Rhinolophus ferrumequinum: one gene and its partners. The protein of the gene in region 1 interacts with the protein of each later gene in a pairwise test. Links are inferred from orthologs where the notes say so. Each region holds a gene or a part of one and is shown in the gene's direction. Other genes may lie near its edges. The genes, in order: SH2B1, INSR and NTRK1.

Region 1 (7,640 bases):
TTGAACTACCGTCTGCCCAAGATCACATGCTTGCTTGGTTTCCTCTCCTCTCCTCTCCTGCTTCTCCCACTCCCTTACTGGTTTCTCCCGGTAGAACTTTTTAAATAAATCACTCGCCCACAAATCCTGATCTCAGGGTCTGCTTCTGGGAAACCTGGCCCAAGACATCTCAGTACTGTTTACTCCTCTTTCTTTGCCTGCCTGTTAAATGTTGCTTGTTCCCCAGAATTAGGTCCTGGCCCTCTTCTCTCTACATATATTATCCGGACAATCTCCTGCCTGTCCATGGCTTCAACCACGACTCATGCCTCATCATCACCAAACTGCTTCCTGCAGCTCAGACCCTTCCCCCACCTCTGCTGGACAGCTCCACCTCCTCCACGAACACTTTCCATGTATGTACTATCTAATCCAGCAGTCAGTAGCCACGTGTAGCTATTTTAACCAGTCAAAATGACAACTTGTTCCTTAGTCACACCAGCCAGATTTGAAGGGCTCAAGAGCCATGTGGCTGCCACACTGGACAGTGCCAATATAACACATTTCATTCGCTGCAGAAAGTGTTATCGGACCGCTTATTAGACCCATCATTCTCAAACCTAATCCATTACCACCAGTCCCTTGTTTCCTCAACATGCGTCTTTGTCCTAAACAGTGGGGCAAGGCTAGAGAAAGAGTGCGTAAGGGTATCTGGGACAGGAAGGGGACCACAGAACTAAAATCTTTTGCGTTGCCATGCTCCCTTGAACTGGGAAGATGGGTGGACAGAGAGAATGGCGCAGGCCTTAACAAAGGCCACCTGTGAGCTTATGCTAATTTGGTTAGACGAGAGGTGCAGCTGGGAGACTTGGGATGGCGAGGCCAGAACGTGCGCAATGAATTTTTCCAACTCCGTCCGACAGCCTCAGCTTTGGACAAACATCCTCGCGTGGGTCCAGGCAGGTATCCATCTTCAAGCTCTTGCCTCTGTGTTCCAGGAAAAGCACTTAAGCTAAAATCGGTTCTGGAAATTTTATTGCAAATCTCAGAAAAGACGCATGATGCTTCCACTAGAGTTGCTCAGCTCTTAGGACTTAGGTCTGGAGCTATGGAAAGCCACTTTGCCAAGGAGAGGACAGTGCCTGAGAGTGAAGCCAAATGCATGGGGAATACAGAGCCCAGAGCAGGGGAACCCCAGGTTCTTGGTATCTTTGGGCCCTTCTATTCAGCTGGTCCTGAAGGAGCTTTATCCACGCTGGATTTTTCAAATGCTTGAGCAAGTAAGGGGCCCTTATTGCTTAGACCAGCGGGAGCTGGTGAATGAGAGACGGGGCAGATAGGATCTCTTCGTGCTCATGATTTCAACTACCCCCTATACGTTAACGATTCTCAATTCCTGACGGCTCTCCGGAGTTGCAGACTGTTCGTCCACCTGCTTCCTGTCGCCCACAAGCACGTCCAAAACTGACCTCGTTATGTCTACCCCCCATCTTTATCTCCCGTCTCAGACACTAAGACTCCTGGAGCCTCTAATCCCTTTTCTCCGAGAAGCCAAGGTCGCAAATTCAGGCTCCGCCTCCTCGCGGGGCCTCCCCAAGGTCACTCGCGTCCTTTCGGGCCCAGCTCCTTGGGGGCGGTGTCCGCGAAGCCCTCGGCCGCAGGGGCCCGGCGCTCTAGGCTGCAGCGGGTCCCTCCTAACGCCGTTCCAACGCGCTGGCTTCCGGTGCCCGGGGGTCGCTCTAGCCTCCCACAGGGCCTCGCGACTCTATCCCCTCAGGTGGCTTCTCTATGGTCGACTGCTGTCCTTTGTCCTGGATTTCTTCTTGGGGAAGATGCTCTGGTGGGACCCAACCCCCTCCTACGACGGCTTATGTCATCGAACACTCCGAAAGTCACACCCTGTTAGGTCTCCCGGGGTGCGCGGGGTGGGAGGGTGGCGGAAGTGAGCGCGAAGTTGCCCTTCCCTCTCGCCGCTCCTCTCTATGGTCGCTTCCTGCGGTGACCGGAAGAGGGGTCCCGACGCCTGCGCAGAAGCAGGCTGGGAGCTAGTCGCGGAGTGGGGGGGGCAGGGAGTGGGAGCTGCCGCCGCTGCCGCCGTCGCCGCCGCCGCCGGAGCTAACCGCGGGGACCGAGATGCAGGTGGGACCGGAAGCGGAACCCCCCTCTTCGAGTCCCTCTTCCCTCTCCGCGACCCGGCCTCGGCGCCTGCGAGGAGCCCTGGGTGGGAGAAGGCGTGGGTGGCCAGAGTCAGGAGGGGCGCTCGGCCCCGGAGAGGGCAGCAGGCAGGGTGGTCCCCCGGAGACTGCGGCCCCGGGGAATGGGCGGGTAAAGGGTGTCAGGGGAGTAGGGTCGGGTCCGAGGGGACTGCACCGGGCCCGGAGGGTCCTTAGCCGGGAGCGGAGCCTGCACCCTCCACCACCCGCCCTTCGGGAAATAGCAGAACGGAGCCAAGAGGCAGGTGCACCGGGAAAATGTGTCTGAGTCCTGCTTGGCAGAAGAGAAACTGAGTCACCAGCTCAGGAGCCGCAGGGGCAGCGGGCCTGAAGGGGGCTGGGTCGGCCTGTGGTGCAGAGGGTTGGGTGGGCCCGTCTGAGCTGAGCTGGCCTCTGCCCGGGGATTGATTTCTCTGCTGTGTCTGCACCTCGTGGCTCAGTCCCCCGTGCTCCGTGACTCTTGCATCTCCTGGCTTCTCCTTGGTTTGGAAGTGTCCCTAGGACTGGAGCCGTCTGAGTGTGGAGGGTCTAGGCCAAGGAGGAACGGGAGGGGTGGCCCACTGTGGGTCTGACCAGGAGTCTGAGGTTTTGGGGAGACTCCCCTGAGCTGCGGTCCCCCCCGACCCCCCGTCCTGGTGCCAGGCATCTTCCAGTAAAATATGGGGGGAGGAACACTACCAGAAGAGCCATGGGTTGTAAATTCCGTGCCCAACTCTGCCATTTGCTAGTGGAAGACGTGGGGAAGTCTCTTCCTTTCTCTGATTTCTCTTTTAGAACATTGGAACCCGGGAAGAGAGCAATAATGGCACTCATTGTGTGCTTACTTGGTGTCAAGCTCTGACGTGCCCCGTTTAATTCTCCCGGCACGTCTGGGGTTAAGAACCGTTAGCTCTGTGTTATAGGTACAGAAACTAAAGCCCAGAGAGGACATGTAATTCGTTCAAGATCACACAGCTCGTAGGTGGCAGGCAGAGCCTGGAGTTCATCCCCAGCCTGACTCCAGAACCCAGGGCCATAACGGGCAGGCGGACCAGCCTTTAGGGCACTCTCCTCAATGAGAAAAGAGGGAGGTGAAAAGTCCTAGGGCCCCAGCTCCCTCTTAACATTTTATCTACTTTGTGGCCGGCAAAGACTTGCCCCGACCCAACCTTGGTGATCTTTCCTCACCTGGTGCTGCCGCCATGAGCCCCCAACTGAAGGGGCAGCAAAGAACTGGGCTGTGACCGGTCCAGGCCTTCCTCACACAGCGCTTGGGTGCTGGGCCCTGGGCTTAGCTTTCAGGACCGTTACTGTCCATCCTCCATCCATTCTCCTCAGTAAGCAACCTCCCTCCTCAGAGCTGGATCTCAGGATACGGGAGACAGGGTCTCTGAGCTCTGCAGACCGGGCTTCGCGGAGGGCTGGGGCAGTGGGGGCTCTGCCTGAGGCCGGCCCAGTCCCTGGGAGCCAGGATTATGCAATGGGAAAAACGGTAGACATGGAGGTCTGAAACTTTTCTGAGCTTCGGTTTCCTCATCCTTTATAGAGGTTATTAAAACCTCTCGCGGGGAAAGGTAAGAACAGCATGTGGGAAGCATGTCGTACATACCTGGCGGCTCCATTTGAGAGAAGGGAGGTGATGTGGAAAGGAGGCCTTTTTAGAGACAGGTGCTCACTCCGCCACGGTTGCTCACTCGTGGACCCAAAGCCTGGGAAAGCGGGTGGGCCGGCGGCAGGCTGGACACGGGAGGGGGCATGTGGGCTGCGAGGGCCCGGGACGGGAGGGGAGCAGTTCTGTGTTGCTCCTCGTTGCTCTCTGAGGAGTCCGGGAGTCCAGCCCAGCGGAGGGAGTCTGGCTTGGGTGGGGCTCTACCCCCTGTCCCACCTCAGCAGTGACTCGGTGTCTGTGCCTCTTTCTTCTGCAGCTGCTGCCGCTCACCCTGTGTCTTCTGGCCGCTTCCCTCTTTGCTGCCCCTCCCCACAGGCTCCCCCCGGCCACCTCCTGGGGACCATCATGAATGGTACCCCTTCCCCGGAGGATGGGGCCTCCCCCTCTCCTCCCCCCTTGCCACTGCCCCCGCCCCCTAGTTGGCGGGAGTTCTGTGAGTCCCATGCCCGGGCTGCTGCCCTGGATTTTGCCCGCCGTTTTCGCCTCTACCTGGCCTCCCACCCTCAGTACGCAGGGCCTGGGGCCGAGGCTGCCTTCTCCCGCCGGTTTGCTGAGCTCTTCCTGCAGCATTTTGAAGCTGAGGTGGCCCGGGCCTCTGGCTCCCTCTCACCACCCATCCTGGCTCCCCTGAGTCCTGGCGTGGACGTCCCACTGCATGACCTGTCCCTTGAGACCTGCAGGGTAGGCGGCCCCCTGGCCGTGCTGGGCCCTTCCCGATCATCTGAAGACCTGGCCGGCCCCCTTCCTTCTTCGGTCTCTTCCTCTTCTACGACCTCCTCAAAGCCGAAGCTAAAGAAACGCTTCTCCCTCCGTTCCGTGGGTCGCTCTGTCCGCGGCTCCGTCCGCGGCATCCTGCAGTGGCGGGGGACTGTGGACCCTCCCTCCCCAACGGGGCCCCTCGAGACCTCGTCAGGGCCCCCAGTCTTAGGAGGAAACAGCAACTCCAACTCCTCGGGCGGGGCTGGGACCGTGGGCAGGGGACTGGCTAGTGATGGGACATCCCCGGGGGACAAATGGACTCACCGTTTTGAGAGGCTGAGACTCAGTCGGGGAGGGGCCGCCATGAAGGACGGAGCAGGGCTGGTACAGAGGGAAGAGCTGCTGAGCTTCATGGGGGCTGAAGAGGCAGCCCCTGACCCCGCCGCCGTGGGCCGGGGAGGAGGGGCCGCGGGGCCGACCTCAGGGGGAGCAGGGCCTCAGTGGCAGAAGTGTCGCTTGCTGCTGCGGAGTGAAGGAGAAGGAGGAGGAGGAAGTCGCCTGGAGTTCTTTGTACCACCCAAGGTGAGGCCCTGGTGGCGGGGGCTCTGGGAGCGAGGGGGGGTGCGCTGCCAGCATGGTCACGGCTGGGCCATCGCTTCACTGACCTTGGCTTTCAAAGCCCGCTCCTGCCTCTGGGTTTAGTAGCGGTGGCAGGACTGAAACACGAGTGTTGCTCCCTTTTGCCTGAATCCCTCCGGGTGTGGAAGCAGGAGTCTCTGGAGGGAAGCGGGCAATGGCCTCTGCTCACCAAAACCCGGCTCTTGTTCTCCCCCCACGTAGGCCTCTCGGCCCCGACTCAGCATCCCGTGCGCCTCCATCACGGACGTGCGGACCACCACGGCCTTGGAGATGCCGGACCGGGAGAACACGTTCGTGGTGAAGGTAGGGGTCCCGGGCTCCCCTGCGCCCCTGGAATGCTCGTGTTGGGGAGAAAGCTCTTAGCACGTACGAGCAAGGGACACGGTGGAAGGAGGTGCGTGTGTGTCACACGCCTGGAGAGTGTGTCCCTGGGGCTGGGCTGTGGCCTTCTGGGAGGAGGGGAAGAGACAGGGAGGACGTTCTTGTTCTTGTTTGAGTGGAAATGGCCTCGGGGCTCCCCCTGTCCCCACAGGTGGAAGGCTCCTCCGAGTACATCCTGGAGACCACGGATGCCGTCCGCGTGAAGGCCTGGGTGTCGGACATCCAGGAATGCCTGAGCCCGGGGTGAGGAGCCCGACCTCTGCCACCGTGGGGCGCGGCGGGGACGGGGAGCAGCCTGTACCTCTCATCCGGTGCCTCTCCTGCCTGTCTTTGCAGGCCCTGCCCCGCTACCAGCCCCCGCCCCATGACCCTCCCTCTGGCCCCTGGGACCTCATTTCTCACACGGGAGAACACGGACAACCTGGAGCTGCCCTGCCTGAATCACTCAGAGAGTCTGCCCAGCCAGGATTTGCTTCTGGGGCCCAGCGAGAGCAACGACCGCCTGTCGCAGGGTAAGGGCGGGGCCGTAGAGACCTGTGAATTCACAACTTGCCACCCCAGATCCCCTGCTCTCAGGCCCGGGACTCCACTGTGTACCCCACTCCTCCCCCTTAGCTACCCACCCCCACCCCCACCCCCACACGTTTGTCTCTTGTCCCTGAAGACGCCAAACCTCCGTTGGTCGTTTGGGACCATCAGCATCACCACCCCACACGAGCCAGAAGCAAACTTCCACTCACCCTCCTGTGCCCAGCCTGGTCACCTTCTGCATAAGCCTGCGTGGACCCCACTCTGGCTGGAGGTGACAGCTCTCTCCAAGCTTCCAGAACGCTCTGCACTCGTCTTCGTTTTGTTCTTATACTGTGTCTCCGTGCATGTGTCGATGGCACCGCGTTTTCTTTGGACTGTCTGTACCTCTTGGTCTGCCTACACACTCACACCCTTACCCCACACGTAAACACACAGACTGTGTGTTCCTGGCCCCCGGCTCACCTGTCTGGACTCCACGCCGAGTTTCATTTTGAGTCCCTGGCACGCAGGCTGCTTTCAGTGAGTGAAACGAGTTACAGGGTAGGCCTTCCACAGCAGCAGGTCCAGTCCCCTGGCTGCTCGGGCAGCTGACACCAGGGAGGGACATGGCTTTCCGATGTCCCCTGAGAGTCACTGGCGAAGGTGGGGCTCTGCCAGCGTGATGCCTGAGCCCTGCTGTGTAGCCTGCACGTACTCCTGTCTTCTGAGCAGTGACTAGGTGCCGTGTCAGGCCCGCCACTCAGCAGACAGTAGGCGTGGCCTGGTACACGCCTGCTCTGGGCCTGCTCTGGGCTGGGCTCCAGGGCAGGAAGGGAATGCAGACGTGCCTCAGAGGGAAACCCTGCCCTCCGTGGGCTCACAGTCTAAGTGAGGTGACAAGACATCACTGTAAAAAGCAGGACTCTGGAGAGCCCGTGCCTCGTGTCCTCTGAGCCCCACGAAACACCTTGGGAGCTCAGGAGGAAAGGAATCGGGGGTGCTGGAACAGATGGGGTACTATGCAGAGAAGGTGGGAGAAAGGACCATGGCCGGGTGAGGGGGCGGGGAGGCAGCTGCTGAGAGCAGAGAGCCCGGGAGGTTGGGGAGAAGCAGATGATTGGGCTCCCGTGGAGGATACCCGGACACGAGGTGAAGGTCAAGTCGGTGAGGTTGAGGGGGTTGTCAGAAGGGGGCTCTCGAACGCCTCTGAGAGTTGGGGGCTTTGTCCTCTTGGCCCGAAAGGATCCCTTTTTAATGCAAAAATATTTGAGAGATTCTACCCTCACTTCCGCAACAGAAGCTGTCATTTCAGCTGTTGAATCAAAAAAGATGGAGGCACTTTTGGGTTCTGGGACCGTGTGGTCCGTGTAGTCCCTGGGCATTGAATGGAACATAATGGGGGACCCGTCGGTGGGAAACACCAGGGGTCCCTGCATTTGAGCTCACGCACCCAGCAGTCCACACAGGGCAGGCTGGCTGGGGGGAGGTGGCCCAGGCAGGCCAGTCCCGCCGGGGCAGCTTCTCTGGGTCTCCACTTTGCTCTCCGTTCCTTTCCAGGGGCGTATGGGGGC
Region 2 (7,640 bases), on another chromosome or scaffold:
GATCCTGGTGTTGGTGTTATGTTCTTTTACTCTTCTGCCTGGCTCTGTTGTAAATTCGTGACGCTGGGTTTCTGCACTGTTATTCATAAATGAAATGTGTAGTTCACCTCCCCCACCCCGTCTCCTACATGTAATATATTAAAGCAGGTTTCCATGACAACACAGGAGTCGGGATTTGCATTGTGTTTCCTGCTTTAATGAATTGGAAAGCAGCTAGATGGAGGGAGATTGTGATAAAGGGACATGCTAAAGAAAGACCCCAGGAGGGTGGCAGTGACATCTCCCCAAGCCCTCCTTGAAGGTAAACAAAAGTAGAGTATTAGTTGCCGATATTCATGAACCATGAAACAGCTCTCTCTCTCTCTTTAGATCATGGATCAAAACACAACAAATGTCGGACCAAAGCCAATCTAAGAAAAAGAAAGCAAAACCAAAAGCCCCAAATGGTTTTTCAAAAGTTTTAAAATCTTTTATGTTGCCATGATGTCTGACTCCCAGGAAAGCTACACAGATAGCACAATGAACCCTCACGTGCACACTCTTCTACAGATTTACCAGTTTCTTCACATTTATCGCATCTGCTTTGTTATCTCTCTCTTTTTTTCCCCTGAACCATTTGAGAGTAAGTTCCAGACATTATGCCCCCTTACCTCTACATACGTCATGCGGTGTGTTTCCTACGACTAGAGACAATCTCTTACATTACCTCAGTACAATGATCAAAATTAATATTGATTTAATACTATTATCAAATTGACCTTTTCAGTTCACCAGTTGTTCCTGTAATATCTCTTATAACAGCAACAACAACAACAAAATTCAGGAGCAACTCTGATCACTTAATTAAGGGGTGTCTGCCAGCTTTCTCCTCCACGAAGCTACCATTTTCCCTTTCTTTTATTATTGAAGACCATATAAATATCCGGTTACTTCTCAAACTTCCAACCGCAAGTTTTAGCATTCGTTGATAGTTCTCACCTGAATCAATTATTTTGGAGGTTGCCAAATGGTGATTTTCTATTTACTGTCCATTCCAATGATTTTTAATAAAAGGCAGAGGTTGACTTTCAATTTCTAGATGCTTTTTTTGAGAGGGGGTTGGGTTTACAAAAGGAACAATGAGTGGTGGTGGTGTCTAAATTTTCCCCCCAGCAAGTCACAATTGAATTGAAATAATTCTTTTGACTTTATACCTAACACGGAAGTCCCACATCATGAGGATTTCCAGAGGACAGCATGTCTCCTTTCATGTCTTTTTCAGCACACACTGCCTGCCTGGAATTGTGGTGGCTTTTGGGGGCTCCTGTGGGTCAGAAGGAAGCCCACAGCTGTGGACAGGTATGCACAAGAAGGAAGGGGAACAACATTTATCAAATCCACACTTCTTGATACTCTGGGACTGCAGCCGCCATCTATTTCTTCTCCGTTGGTTCGTTCTTGCCCCATTGCAGATGGTGAGATGTTATTGGACAGAAAAGCTGATTATGTTAACCCTTTTGTGTAAACCCTCTGGTGCATACCAATTGCTTTTAGGATAAAGGAGGTAGGGACCCTTAACATGGTGTAATTGAGGTTCTGCCCCTTCTAGTCCCACCCATGAGTTCAGCTTCTCCTCTTCTGTGCTCCAGCTACAGTGCCTAAGTTTAGTTACAAGAACACCCGTCTGTCCTCCTCTGAGCCTTTGCACATGCTGTTCCCTCTACCTGGAACATGATTGATTCCTTTGGCTGTTTATTCCTCATCTTCAGATTTCAGCTCAAATATCACTTCCTCAGAGAAGCCCCCCCATTATAACACATAAGATTGTTTAATTAATGGCCCTCTTCCCCCTGCAGACCATGAGTGTACAAGGAAATGGATTGTGTTTATTTTCCTCACTGTAAATCCCCATTAGTTATTGCATGTTGATTCTTCCATTCAACAAGTGATTATGAAGCAATGAGTATGTAAAGCACTGGGTATAAAATAGTGAACAAGACAGACAAGATTTCTGCCTTCATGGGGGGAAGAGAAGATACACACACACACAAAACAAGAATTTCAGGTAGAGATACAGGTGTGATGTTAATAACAGGGAAGCAAAGAAAAGGATTAAGGGAGGGGGCGTGGTCAGGGAAGGGTCACCGGAACAGAAAGGTGGAGCCAGGCACTGGAGGGACAGGGAGGGACAGGCACTAGGATAAGGGCCTGGAGGCAGGAGTAGGTTTGGTGCCATAGAGGAACAGTAGGCCCAGTTCCTGGCAAATTAATATTTGTCCCATATCCTCATGATGTGGGACTTCCGTGTTAGGTATAAAGTCAAAAATGTATGCCTTGGGCCTAGAGCTGTGCTGGGTGCTTTCTCATGCTTTACTTCCCCTGCAACTCCCCAAATCTGACCTGCAGGTATTGTTACATCCATCATGCAGGTGAGACCTATCCAGAGAGAGTGAAGTCACTGGTTCAGGGCTGCACAGGAAGTGAGGAGCCGCTCGATCCTCACTCGGTTCTGCTTTCCTGTACCTAAGGCGCCTTGCCCCCATTCAGTAAGGTAGGTTGACCATTGTCATGCCTTATTCATGAATGACATTGCCTAGACATTCAGATACATATGGAGGTCTGTGTATAGAAAATCGAGTGTGTCCACCTGCCCGGTACCCAGGAGATGTCTAGCGCCTGCTTTGCACTTTGGGGAGGTTCTGCACATTGTCCCACGTGTCCTCTCTCCAACTGAACCACAGGCCGCGCCTAGGGCTTGGTGCCACCGAGCACAATGAGCGCACCGGGCGGGCGGGCGAGTGCACGTGGCTGTCCCCAGGGGCCTGGCTCTGGGAGAGGGCGCACATGGGGCAGGAAGTCCGGGACGACGGTGAGGCGAGTGCAACATTTAAGGGAGTACCAAAAACCCGAGCAACCAAGATAAATAATATTTTAATGCAATATTAAAAAAAAAATGAAAACGAATGCCCCAAAGTCCACAAGAAACAAAATAGCAAAATGTTAACGACATATTTTGCTGGGTTGGGCATGTAGGGGGTCCCCGGGCTCTGAGACATGGCGCTCAGGCCAGGCAGGGATCTGGGGCACCCCCTGAGCTAGGGGGGCGCTCGGGACCTCTAGCGTGGGGCCCTGGAGAGGGAGGCAGGCGGGCGGGGCGGTGCCTCTCTCTGGCTGGCCTTCCTCCACCCCTCCCGGGCCTCTACCAGGCGCCGAGTCCCTTCCGAGTGTGGATCCGTGCCGCCTTTTACTGCCGCCTGCACAGGGCCCAGCTGACGGGCCTCGTTGTTTACGGGCCGAGCAGCCCTTGCTCCCGCCGACCGCCCGCACCCGCCAGCCCTGGTGCCTGCCCGCCAGTCCGCGCGTCCTTCTGTCCGTTCGTCCGTTTGTCCGGGCGCCCGCAGATTGCGGCCCAGAGCGGTCGGGGCCGAGAGCCGAGAGGTCCGGGGTGCAGCGTGGTGCTACCGGCCCTGAGATCGCGGGACGGGGCTAGGGCCGCAGTAGCCCGGGGTTGGGGCCGCGCGGCGGAATTTGTAGCGGCTGAGGCCGAGCTCCCCGCCCGGGCTGATACAAGAGTCTTTCTGGGCCAGGACTGTGGCCCGTGGGCTGCCGGCGTAGAAGAGGAGGAGGCAGGGTCATCAGCGCCTCCCAGGCGGCCACCTCGGAGCATGACCCCCGCGGGCCGGCGCCGCGCGCTCTGATCCACCGGACCGGTGCTCCCGCAGCCATGGGCGCTGCGGGCAGGCGGGGGGCGGCCGCCGCGCCGCTGCTGGTGGCTGTGGCCGCGCTGCTGGTGGGCGCCGCGGGCCACCTGTACCCTGGAGAGGGTGAGTCCGGGGGTCTGGGAGTGGGCGGGGAGCAGCGTGGGGGGTTTGGGGACCCCTTGCCAAAATGGAGCCCCATTTGGAACTCAGAGCCCTTCTCGGTGGGGGGCAGGTGGCCCGAATTGTCTCTCCAGCTTCGCGGGGGGCGGAAAGCCGCTGACCTTGGCCTTTGCCCGCCTGGGCTCACGGCTCCGCGCCCCGCGTGCCGGCCCGGACTGGAGGAACCTTCCCCCAGTGCCCGCCCCGCCGCAGGCGCCCCTCTCCGGAGCTCACCGCTGACCAATGCCTCGCCTCCTCGGAGCCCAATTCGCTCCAGAGACGGACACCCATCCTCTCTGGGTCGCCTTTGAGAAGTGGGGTCCCTGGGTCTGGGTGGCCTCGGGCAGCCCAATGCCTGGGGCACACACAGTTTGGAGCCAGAGGCGAGGATGAAAGACTTGGGGGGGCGGTGTCCACTGGGGTCCCGCTGGTAGGTGACGCTGCGGGAGGCGGGAAATTGTACCCTCCTCCTGCCCCATTCCTGAGAGGTAGGCCCGTGGCCACCTGGGGCTCCAGGTCCATGTTTACACTTTTGGCTTCTGTTTCCAGATGTCCGGAGGCAAACTCGCGCGCCGTGGTAACAGCACAGTTGTAGTAGAAGAAGCAGTGGCGGTTTTCATTATGATTATAATTAGCGTCACCGAATGCCACTGGGCTGGTCCATCTTATCTCTCTGGACTCCAGAGGCAGATACTGTTGTTCGCCCGTTTTATAGAGGAGTAAACAGGCTCAGGGAGAAGACCATTCACTTGCCCCAAAGTCAATGCCAGAGGGAGGACTTGAGCCGCTCTGTGTACTGCCATCTCCCTGATAACCTCCCCGCTACAGCTCTGCCCTTCATGAAGGGGGTTTTACTTGTTAGCCCCACGAAGTTTGTAACCTTGGGTGAGCGTCTCACACTCCTACCCCCGTGGGCCTCCTTCCTGGGCTTCCCTGTGCTGGCAGCAGAAGGAAGCAACCCCCCATTCCAGCATCCTCCTTGGGGCTCGATAGCAGGCCTTTCTGTTTGTGGGACAAGGGCTGAAGAATCATGTAAGAGAATATAGCTGGGGTGTTTCACCATTGTGTCTGAGGCCCTGCTTTAAAAATATCTGTTGGGTTCCTTCAGATTTCTCCATAAAAGGAAATCAGTCATGATGAGGAAGGGGTCGGGGAGGGAAGATATAGAAGCTCCTGAGTTTCCTGATGGTAAATGAGACACATGAGAAAGCACACACAGGTTCTGGCGTTGACAAACGCAGCTTGCTGAGCGCCTCTGCTAATTACACAATGACTCGAAGCCCCCGAGTGCCTGGTATACAGTAGGCACTCAATGAAGGGTGGCAGTTGTTTTGGGTTCTTGTTAAGAAAATCCAAGATGTATTGTTAGACCTAACGCCAGATTGTGTGTGTGTGTGTGTGTGTGTGTGTGTGTGTGTGTGTCTGTGTCTGTGTGTATGCGCGTGCACGCAGGGATATGTGTAGTTCCCTGCTCCTCTGTTCCTTGCACTTTGGTAATTAATTCAATTAATTGTGGATTTGTGCCTGGGCTTCCAGGGGTCAATAGATGGCTTTGCCACTTCTTTACATGTTTAGAGTTTCCACAACAGCAGAGGCTTTTGTTTCTTTCATTCACTGTTACATTTCCAGAGCCTGGAACAGTGCCTGGTGCTTAGTAGGTGTGTGGTAAATATTTGTCCTTGATTTGGCTCCTGTCCTTTTTGTTCTCACTGGTATTCCTTTATCCTCCAGACAATACCTAACTAATAATAACAAACACGTGGCAGGTCATATTCTATATGCTTTGCATGTATAATCTCAGTTACTCCTCACCACAACCCTGTGAGGCAGGGTTTATCCTTTTTCCACAGGTGAGGAAATTGACTATGTTACAGAGCCAGTGGGCAGCAGAGCTGGAATCAGAACCCCTCCTAGTCTGGCTGCCCAACACTGGTTTCTTACCAAATGGTCCTTCTTTTGGGTCTGGGCCTCCCCACTCCAGCGCTGCAGTAATAGTTAACAAAATCCTATCAAATAACTTCCCCTTGGAAGTTTGGGGAGGGAGGAGGCATTTTAAAGCTATAATGTCTGGCAGGGAGGAGGGTGGAGGGAAATCAACTTGATTTTTAAGAAATGAGGGACTCTTCCTTGGAGATGTCACCCCACTGCCTTCTCCATGAAGTCGCTGTTGCTTTGCTGAACTGAATAATGGTTTCCCCGCCATTTCTCCTTGGGTTGGCTGGCTCCGTGACTACCTGTGGGCCTTGCAAAGTCAGAGAATGCAGGTGATGTGGGATGAATTAAAATAAAAACCCCACAGAGCTTTGGGGTGAGGGTTCCGTGAGTCACCTAATTGAGGTCGGAGACGCTTGCTTCCAAATCCTCCTCGGTTTTCAAGGCGGCCTGAGATGTTTCTGTATCTTCTCTTATGCGCTCTGGAGCCCGAGGGGCAGAACGTCTGCCTGCTCGGGTACCTCCCTGGGGTTATTCCTAACTTTTCCTTCTCTCCTGGAGACCTGCCCTCTGTCCCTGCCCCACTCATGCATAGAGGGCACTGGGGTGAGCCCCCTGCGGTCCCCACCGTACCCCACTCCATCATTGACTTCCATTCTCATTTGATTAGAGCAGAATCGCTCAATCTCTCAATCTCAGTGATTTTGACATTGAGTTTAGATAGTCTTGGTTGTGGGGGGGCCGGGCTGTGTATTGTTGGATGTGGAGCAGCAGCGTTCCCAGTCCCTACCCACTAGATGCCAGGAGCACCTTCCCTCTCCAAGTCATGACAATCAACAGTGTCTCATGACATTGCCGACTGGTCCGCAGTTGAAAACCACTGCATTTGGGGAGATAACTTCTTTCTTGTCTAGGACACTTATCCATCCGGATGCCTGCTCTCTCCCCTTTGTTTGTTCAGGGATCTCCATCTGCCCAGGAGCCTTACTCTCTCCAGCCTATAAACATTCAATGCTTCCCTGAACCTCATTACCTACCACCCACCTCCAGTTTTCCGCTGCCAAACCCCGACTTGGCAGGTCCTCTCCACAATCTCGTTTTCTAACCTTTCACCCACTGCTCTACCCATGGCATCTGGCTTGTATCTCCCTCGCTTTGCTTTGCCGGTGGTTCTAGAGATGGTAATTCCTCACCTCCCAATTGCCTCTCCTGCAGCCTCACCTCCATTAACCTCTCTGGATTTGCCTCTGCCTACCCCCTCCAACTGGAAGGCACAGTCTCCTGGCGAGTTTTCACCTGTGACTGGCGTCCCCTGGTCCTCCCTCTTCTCTTCCTCTGTTCTGTGTTAGCTCTCTTCATAGAGGGAAAATCCCTACTCTGACCCTCTCTCAGCCCACTGTTTTATTTACATATAGCCAAACTCCATCTAGGACAGGAGCCAGCAAACTACACCCGCAGGCTAAATCTTCTGCCCTCCCACACCTGTTTTTGTAAATAAAGTTTTATTGGCACCCAGCCACACTCATTCGTTTATGCATCATCAATAGCTGCGTTTGCTCTCTAATGGCAGAGGATATTGTGATTGCATGGCCTGCAAAAATATTTACACTTTAGCTCTTTACAGAGAAAGTTTGCTGACTCTTGATTTAGAACAAACTCCTTGAGGAGCAGGATGACATGCCTAACAGCTCGTGTGGTCCCTGGTGAAAAACTGAATGAATCAAATGAAACAAAATGCCAGATAAGTTGTGTTTTTCCCTTTACAGAGCAAGCTGTATTAAAGAAACTTATACATTTGTTGTGCTGAATGTATTGGTTCTGATGGTGAGAAAATATCAGTGATTTTTCCTCGTTAGTTTTGTGTGTGTG
Region 3 (7,640 bases), on another chromosome or scaffold:
TCTCCCACCTCTCCCCCCTCCCTCCCTCCCTTGCTCTCAGCAGCATCATCGTGTCCCACAGACGCTGGCCCATCCCCTGAGGGTTAAGAAGTGGGTGGGCAGGCCCTGCCTGCTCTCTGGGACTCACTTCACACCTCCCTGCTGTCACTCCCTGCCCCTGAGCTTGGCTCTGCCCTGTGAGTGTGTGTGTCTGAGCACAGGCAGACACAGACGCCACACACAAGAGGGAGAGAGAAGGAGAAAACACTTGTACCCCTCCAGGCGAGGGCCAATCAGGCTCTGCGAGGCAGATGGGGGGTTCTCAGGCGCTCACGTGCCACTTCCCATCATGCCCCCTGCCTCTCTAGGGCTCCCCTGATGAGACTCATTTGGAAAAACAAGTCTTCGACCTTCTCAGATTAACCCCTGTCTGTCTCGCCTAGGACATGGCCCTGGGCAGAGCCGCACTGGGAATGGGACATCTGTGTCCCCTGACCAAACACCAACCCGAGGGACGTGCTCCTGTCCCTGACAACCGGGCTGCTGGCTGGCATCTTGTGTCAGGCCCTGCACAGCAGTGGAGGAGCAGAGCCCTGCGGGGGAGGGTCTATGCCTTGAAGGCAGTGCCTCTGTGACTAGCACTCTTGGGGGACCCCTACCCCAATACATTTGCATCATCCCTATCTCGGTAGGAAGAGGAGACTGGAGGCCCCCAGTCTGAGGACATCAGGGGAACTTCTCAGGCAGGCACACAGCACTGGGTGCCTGAGCCCCCATCAGTCCAGAAGGGAAGGGTAGGATCGGGGAAGGGGACATTTCTTAATCCTTTTTTGAATCTTCCACCCTCAGCTTTTTCCCCTCTCCCAGCCAAGCCCCCCAGCACCCTCGTGAGGGCCACTTAATCCACATGGTTCCCCCCCTCCGCCCTCAGCCCTACACATGGGAATTGTCTAGCCTGGGGCATGAGAGAAAAGCAGCCCCCACGCCACTGAATGGGCCCTGGAGGCAGGAGCTCAGGACCTCAGTCCAGCTTTACCTCTCAATTTTCTGAGCCTCAGTCTCCTGTCTGCACAATGGGTTCAGTTACTTAAAGCGCCCAGTTTTCAGCTACCCACCCCATCCCATCGCTGCCCCCTCCCACTCAGGGGCCCTGGAAATGACTTCTCAGACTCTCTCCCCTCATCTTGGTTCGCGTCCCAGTTTCACCAGCGGGGTTGGGAATGGAGGGTATCTATTTGTCCCTCTGTTTCAAGGTCCTTCTCACCTCCCAGGGAACTGAGAGGAAAACACCCTCATGTGGGGAGCTAACTGCTCTTTCTGGGGAAGTCCTTCACACCGCAATAGTTGTGTCCTGGCTGGAAGCTCAGTTTGGCTTCCCAGCTGGCAGGGAGGGAGACGCGGCTCCAGGAGAGTGCCGGGGACTCACCCTCCAGTGTGTCCAGGCCAAGTCCCAGGGACAGGAGGACCACAAGCAGGCATGCCACCCACGGCCACAGACTGGGCACTGCCATTGCCTCAGTGCTGGCTCTCCTCCAGATGGCTCCGGGGAGCGGAACGGTCTGACTGGCCCTAAGAGATACAGAGACACAGGCTTCAGAGGAGAGGGGGAGGGTAGGGACCGAGCTACAAGGAATCCCACACATAGGTGGCAGGAGACAGGAAAAAGGAGTGACAGCCACAGAGACAGACAGTGACAAGCAGCTGGAGACAGAAAGATGAGGACAGAGATGCAGAGAACAACAGGGAAAGACTAGAGAGGACCCCCGGGGGAGAAAGTCACACCGGGTGCAGAGCAAAAGGCGATCCAAAAGGCCGGCCAGCCCAAGGGCAGAGAGAAGCCCAGGGAGCTTGCCGTGCCAAGGAGAGTAGCGGGGGTCCTGGGGCGCGCTGGAGAGTCTCCCCGGATCCCTGGGGGCACGCTCGGCTCCCAAGCCCGCTGGCCGCGCAGGCTGCGAGTCCTCGGGCGCGTGCAGGGGCCTCGCCCTGCTCCCGCCCTCCCCGCCCCCAGCCCAAACGGATTGGTTTGCTGGGACCTCTCGGCTCTCTCCGCCCCTCCCGCTAAACCAAAATATTTAGCCTGACAACTGAGGGGGGAACAGGTCTGTTGGGGAAATAAGGCCAAAATGCAGGGGGGTGCTAGACCAAGATCTGAGCTCCCCCGCCCCCGCCCTGCAGACTTCTCCCAGGCAGGGCTGCACGGCCAGAAGCGCGGCGGGCTGTCGGGTCCCCTGGGGAGGGGTGGTTCTAGGTTCTGCCACTGGTACCTTGACACCTGCGGGGTAACTTCTGGCAGCCTTGACCGGCAGAGCGAGCTTGTTGAAACCTGGCGGGAACGTGACTTGTGTCTGCTGAATATTCAAGCCCGTGGCTTCTGGGAGCCCAGGAGGCCACCACTCCCGTCCCAGCCAAGTCCCTTGGTTCCGACCAATATCCCTTCGGAGAGGGCCATCACCCTGTGGGGACCCACCTCTGTCCGGCCACCTTCCTGAATTCAGGCTTCTGGGTTGGCTTGGTCTGTCTGTCCGTCCCTGCCTCAGGGAACTGGAGCACATCTGTGCTGGGCCTGGCGGAGAGGCGAGCAGCACGCGGCTCTCTCCGTGGGGCCCTTGTTTGCCCCCCTTTCCTGAGTCCTTCCTTCAGGGCCCCTTTTTCTCCCCATCTCCCCGGCTTGACACAGTCGGGCCGCTGTAGCCACAAAGGGGCTGTCAGGGGCTGGGACTTATCCTGTGGCTCCCTGGGTTCTGGGAATCCCGGGGCTTTCCGGGTGCGCGGCCCCCTAGAACCGACCGGTCCCAGCTCCACCCGCCGGCCGCTCCCGCATCCAAGGAGCTAAGAGAAGACCTATTAATTTCTCCGCGCAGAAATCGATGCTCTTGTCAGGGCGGCGATCGATGCCCGCGCGGCCCGGCTTGGCCCTACCCGGCCAGGGGGCCAGTGCTGGCCGGCCGGGTTCGGGGGCTGATGATGGGTGGCGAGGCGCGCAGTGGGCGCTGCAGGCCGCGCCCCCACCCACCCGACCCCGGCCGAGCTCGCACCTTTGCTCGCGGGCTTCTGGCGCCACCCTGTGGCCTCTCCAGGAAGTCGGCGTGTCGGCTCCCCGGTCGCCCCTCTCCAGCTCTGGGAGACACTTTCCTTCTCTGCCTCTTCTGAGTTTTCCTTCCCCAGGTCCTGCGTTTGGTTTTCTTTGGGTCCCTTCCCTTTTCTTTGTAGGGTTTTGAGAGTGTTACACCTAATTTATCCAAGTGACACTGCACAGTCGCTCCGGCACGCGCGCCCTGAGGAGGGAGATCGGAAGCCGGGGGCTGGCTGGGGTGACCAGGACCGCAACCTTTCCCGGCTCCATCACCTCCCCTCCCCCCTAAATGCAGCTGCTTTAGGCTGGGAAAAATAGCGTATCAACTTCCCCTCTCCTCCACCCAGCAGACACCTCTGAGGCGTTCCGCGGCCGCGCCCCCGCGTCTCCCGGAGCTGGGGGGCATCTTGGGGGAGAAGGCTGGCGCGGGGGCCCCCGAAAGGGGTGGGGGCCGAGTCGGGGGCTTAGGAGCGGTGGGGGAGACGTGGGAACCAGAGGGGGCGGGGCGGGGCGGGGCGGGGCCGATGGCTCCGCCCTTTCCTGGCGACTGGGTCATTAACACCGCCCCGCGCACGTGTCGGGGGAGGCCCGGCGCCCGCTGCTGGAGCGCACAGACGGCGGCCCGCGGGGCGAGGCGAGCGTCGCAGCGATGCTGCGAGGCGGTGGGCGCCGGCAGCTTGGCCGGCACGGCCGGCCTACGGGCCCGGGCAGCCTGCTGGCCTGGCTGATGCTGGCATCTGCGGGCGCCGCACCCTGCTCTGATGTCTGCTGCCCCCACGGCCCTTCGGGGCTGCGCTGCACCCGGACTGGGGCCCTGGATAGCCTCCGCCACCTGCCGGGCACCGAGAACCTTACGGAACTGTGAGTGTCCGCGAGCGGGGGATCGCGGGGACCGGCGCGCATAGCCGTGCCCCGAGGGCGCGGACTCGCCCGTGGTCAGGAAGGGCGGGCGCTGCGGTTGGCTGTGCTCCCGCAGTTCCTGCTGGACGTGGGTTAGAGCTCAGTGTGGCTGGGGCACAGGCTTCGGGGAGAGTAAGGGGCGCTCTCCGTGGCCAGTTCTGGGAAAGCCCAGCGATGTGGAAGCCGCCTCCTGGAGCCAGGCAGAGCTGGGAGGGACGTGGTTAGCTGCTGGGAGGGACGTGGACCCTTCAGTTTGGTCCTTCCGGCCTTATCCCCTTTCCATGGGGAAACCAGTCCCCACCCCCTCTTCCTTGTCATGACCAGGCAACCCCAACTGTTCCCCCTGCAATTGGGAATTGAACTGGAAAAGTGGGAGGAGGTGAAAAGTCATAGCTTGGAGGCTGAGCTCTCTTCTCCCCATAGCCACTACCTCCTGTCTCCTCGACCCCTTGCTTCGGATGTATGAAATGGGACTCCCCCCTTGTCTCTCCTCACCCCCCTCTCCCTTTCCACCCTGTCTCCCTACTTGGGGCAGGGTGTCAGGCCTCAGACTGGGAGGAATCTCCAGCATTCTGCAGTAATCGGTCACAAAATACTCAAGTACTTTTTAGCAGCTGGTGAAACCTATGGGAGTATTCTGTAATAATTGGCCTAGAGGTACTCAAGCATCACATGCTGATGGCTGAAAAATACTTGAGTATTCTGTTTGGCTAATGGGGCCAGCAGGACTTCTAGAAGAGAGGAGGACATGCTAGAATATCTTCCTCTGGCCTGGGGCTTACAGGGTGGACGAGGAACCCTGGCCTTAGGCGGTGATGGACGGGCTGGAAGGTGTGCAAGGTAGTGCCGTCACTGTCTGGAAGTTACTTGAGAAGCATTCCATAATTGGCACCGAGTTACTCGGGTATCTCGTGGTAATTAACGGGAAGGTACTCCATCTCTCTAACGGCCCTAGGGAGACCAGGAGGAGAAGAGAGGGCCTTGTCTTGGTCGGGGCCTAGGTCCCTGCATAACGGCAGGGAGCATGAGATCCAGGCTGCCCCGGTCCGGTCCACTCATCATCCCCCTGGGCCTTCACACCACGGCCCAGGCTTCTGAATGGTCCCACCAGCGCTCTCATCTCCCAGTTCCCTTCCAAGCCCCAAGTGGGTCCAGCGTGGGGTGGGGGGCGCGTGGACGGGCTGGGGCTGGGACTAGGACTCACGCAGGGTGGTGAGGAGGGGTCCCTCTGGGTGGGGCGGCAGCCTGACCTGTGCCTCAGCCTGCACACGCTGGGCCCCCTCCTCCTCCCGCACTCGCAGAGCTAACGAGGAGATAATGGACTCGAATAGACAGATTGATTACGAATCCAAACGAATGGGGCAGCTTTGAGCACGCTGCCTGACAGCTTTCTCACCCCTCCCTGGGTCCCTATAGCTCTGGACAGAGACTTACTCTCCCTCCCAGTCACTGGAGGTTATTCCCAGGGGACTGCGGGCCTGGTACCCAGCTGTCCACTGGGGCCACGGCTGTGAAGGGGGGAGGAGGAAAGGGTCACTCAGGCTGGGCCTGGTTCCCACAAGTTAGGGAAAGTAGGAGTGGGGGAGAGTGCTGAGACAGGCAGTGAGTCAGGGGCCTGGCACTGGGCGCCTGTGTGTGGGGCAAGTACTCTGCAAGAAGCTGAGTTCTCAGGAACTCCCTGGCGTGCGGGATCCAGGACCCAGGGCGCCAGCAGCCCCCCACCCAGCCGGGCCTCTCTTCCTTCTTCGTTCTCATCTCCCTATCTTGGCTCTCTGGCTCTGTCCTTATCTCTCTGTCTCTCTGTCTCCCTTTCCTTATCTGTTTTGCTCCTTGCCTGTCTCTCTCTCCCTGCCAGTCTCTTCCTGTCAGTATCTCTTTCTCAGTGCCTGCCTCACTGTCTGTTGTGCTGCCACCCCGCCCTGTTGAGTCTTCCCATTGCTCTCTCACTGTGTAAGCCAGCCAGTCCGTGCCCCTTTACTGCCCCTCTCCTCCTTCCTGGGTCCCTCCTGGGCAGGGAGGGGGTCAAAGCATCCCTGACTGACAGCCTCTATGCCTCTGCTTGCTCTGCTGAGAGGTGGGGGTGGGGGGGACTATGGATTGCTGCTTGAGGGTGGGCACGGGGAGAGGGTGGGATGTGTGTGTGTGTGTGTGTGTGTGTGTGTGTGTGTAGCAACACAGGTGAGACCAGGTAGTGGCCCCGAGCGGGCGTGTTTGGGCACACAGGTTTGCATGACCGTGGGTGTCCCGTGTGCTGGGCGGGGCTGTGGCAGCAATGTTTCAGCGTGACCCCCTTGAGCATGTGCGGGAGAGGCCTTGTGTGAAAGTAGAACGCCAGGCCATGTGTTTGTGAATGTGAGCGTGCGCATTTGTCACATGTGTGTGTACATGAAATGCATACGTGTGCCCGTGTGAGGGTGTGGGCATGCAGGTGTGTGTACACCTGTGTAGGAGGTGTGTCTCTGTGTCTGTGTGTGTGCATGCCCGTGCTTGTGTCTGCGTGTAAACAGGTCTGTGCATGAGTGTGCATACATGTGACTGTGAGGGGCAGGTGGGGGGGTACTTAGGGGGGGGGTGGCCTCCGCTGACTCCCGTCCCCTGTCCCCACAGCTACATCGAGAACGAGACGCAGCTCCGGCATCTGAACCTCACTCACCTGAGGGGCCTGGGGGAGCTGAGAAACCTGTGAGCGGCGGGGCTCTGTGGAGTGGGGCGTAGTGCGGAGCCTGGAGGGCAGAGGGTCAGGCTGGGCTCAGCGACCCAGGGGCCTGGGAGGGCCCAGGGGCTGGCGGAGGTCACGGCCAGTGCAGCCGGGGAAGCTGTGAGGGCTGGGAAGGGTCCAGGGCTCCGCACGGGGGCTGGGGGCCGGCGTGGGCAGTGGCCAGGGCCCCGGTAGCTGACCCTGCTGCTCCCGTCCCCAGCTCCATCGTGAAGAGTGGCCTCCATTTCGTGGCGCCAGATGCATTCCATTTCACCCCTCAGCTCAGTCGTCTGTGAGTGGCCAGGGCTGGGCAGAAGGGGTGGGAGGCCACCCAGACTTGGGCGGCTAATGGGCTGGGCCTCCCCGGGGACCTGTTCTGAGAAAGGCTCCAGCCTGGGGCTTCTTCTCATCCCCTCTGGGGATGGCACTTCTCTCAGCTCCCACTCCTGCCAGCTTGGTCCTTCTTGCTGTCTCATGTCCATGCTTCGTGCTGCAGGAAGACTTTCTAGGTGCCTGCCCTATTTTGCTTCCCAGGGTTCAGATACACATGGACTGGGGCACGGGGGGAGGGGGCGGCCAGGACCCTGGGGTGTGGCTGGGACTCCATCTCCCACCCCCTCCCAGCCCCTGGGATAGCCTGGGAGCTGGACTGTCAGACCTGCCACTCACCACCTTCCCCATTTTGGGGAGTCACAGCTCAGGACAGGGAGGGGACAGATGGCCAGGAGAGACTTGTGAAGGGAGACCCTGGGAGTCAGTCCCTGGTGGCCCCTCTCCTGCACAGGGTGGGCGGTGGGTGGAGAGATGGGGAGGGTGGTGGGGCCGGCCATTCCTGTGGTTGTGCTGGGAACTCTAAACTGTCGTGACCAATGATTTAGCAAAGACAACAGCAAAAACTAAGGTGACGTCACATCCTGACTGCATCCTGGGGGCTTCAGTTAAAACTGTGTACCTCACGCTACTTAATGACCTGGTAAGAGAGAGTGTCAC

Evidence for each region.
Region 2: the proteins of SH2B1 (region 1) and INSR interact in binary tests that used the Homo sapiens proteins (3 or more experiments, as listed by UniProt). The link is inferred for Rhinolophus ferrumequinum from reciprocal best matches to the Homo sapiens genes SH2B1 and INSR.
Region 3: the proteins of SH2B1 (region 1) and NTRK1 interact in a two-hybrid assay, tested with the Homo sapiens proteins (2 studies listed by BioGRID). The link is inferred for Rhinolophus ferrumequinum from reciprocal best matches to the Homo sapiens genes SH2B1 and NTRK1.

What each region holds. Positions count from the first base shown.
Region 1 is NW_022680357.1:1,245,540-1,253,179, forward strand, and holds the start of SH2B1 (SH2B adapter protein 1), read left to right. Parts: upstream 1-3,628; 5' UTR 3,629-3,717; coding exon of another isoform or gene 3,718-3,745; 5' UTR 3,746-3,756; coding exon 3,757-5,121; intron 5,122-5,379; coding exon 5,380-5,481; intron 5,482-5,710; coding exon 5,711-5,802; intron 5,803-5,895; coding exon 5,896-6,071; intron 6,072-7,626; coding exon 7,627-7,640. UniProt on the Homo sapiens protein: Adapter protein for several members of the tyrosine kinase receptor family.
Region 2 is NC_046301.1:56,447,032-56,454,671, reverse strand, and holds the start of INSR (insulin receptor), read left to right. Parts: upstream 1-3,594; 5' UTR 3,595-3,703; coding exon 3,704-3,803; intron 3,804-7,640. UniProt on the Homo sapiens protein: Receptor tyrosine kinase which mediates the pleiotropic actions of insulin.
Region 3 is NC_046305.1:1,196,253-1,203,892, forward strand, and holds the start of NTRK1 (high affinity nerve growth factor receptor), read left to right. Parts: upstream 1-3,645; 5' UTR 3,646-3,701; coding exon 3,702-3,913; intron 3,914-6,559; coding exon 6,560-6,634; intron 6,635-6,870; coding exon 6,871-6,942; intron 6,943-7,640. Other genes in the region: INSRR (insulin receptor-related protein), read right to left, coding at 1,406-1,490. UniProt on the Homo sapiens protein: Receptor tyrosine kinase involved in the development and the maturation of the central and peripheral nervous systems through regulation of proliferation, differentiation and survival of sympathetic and nervous neurons.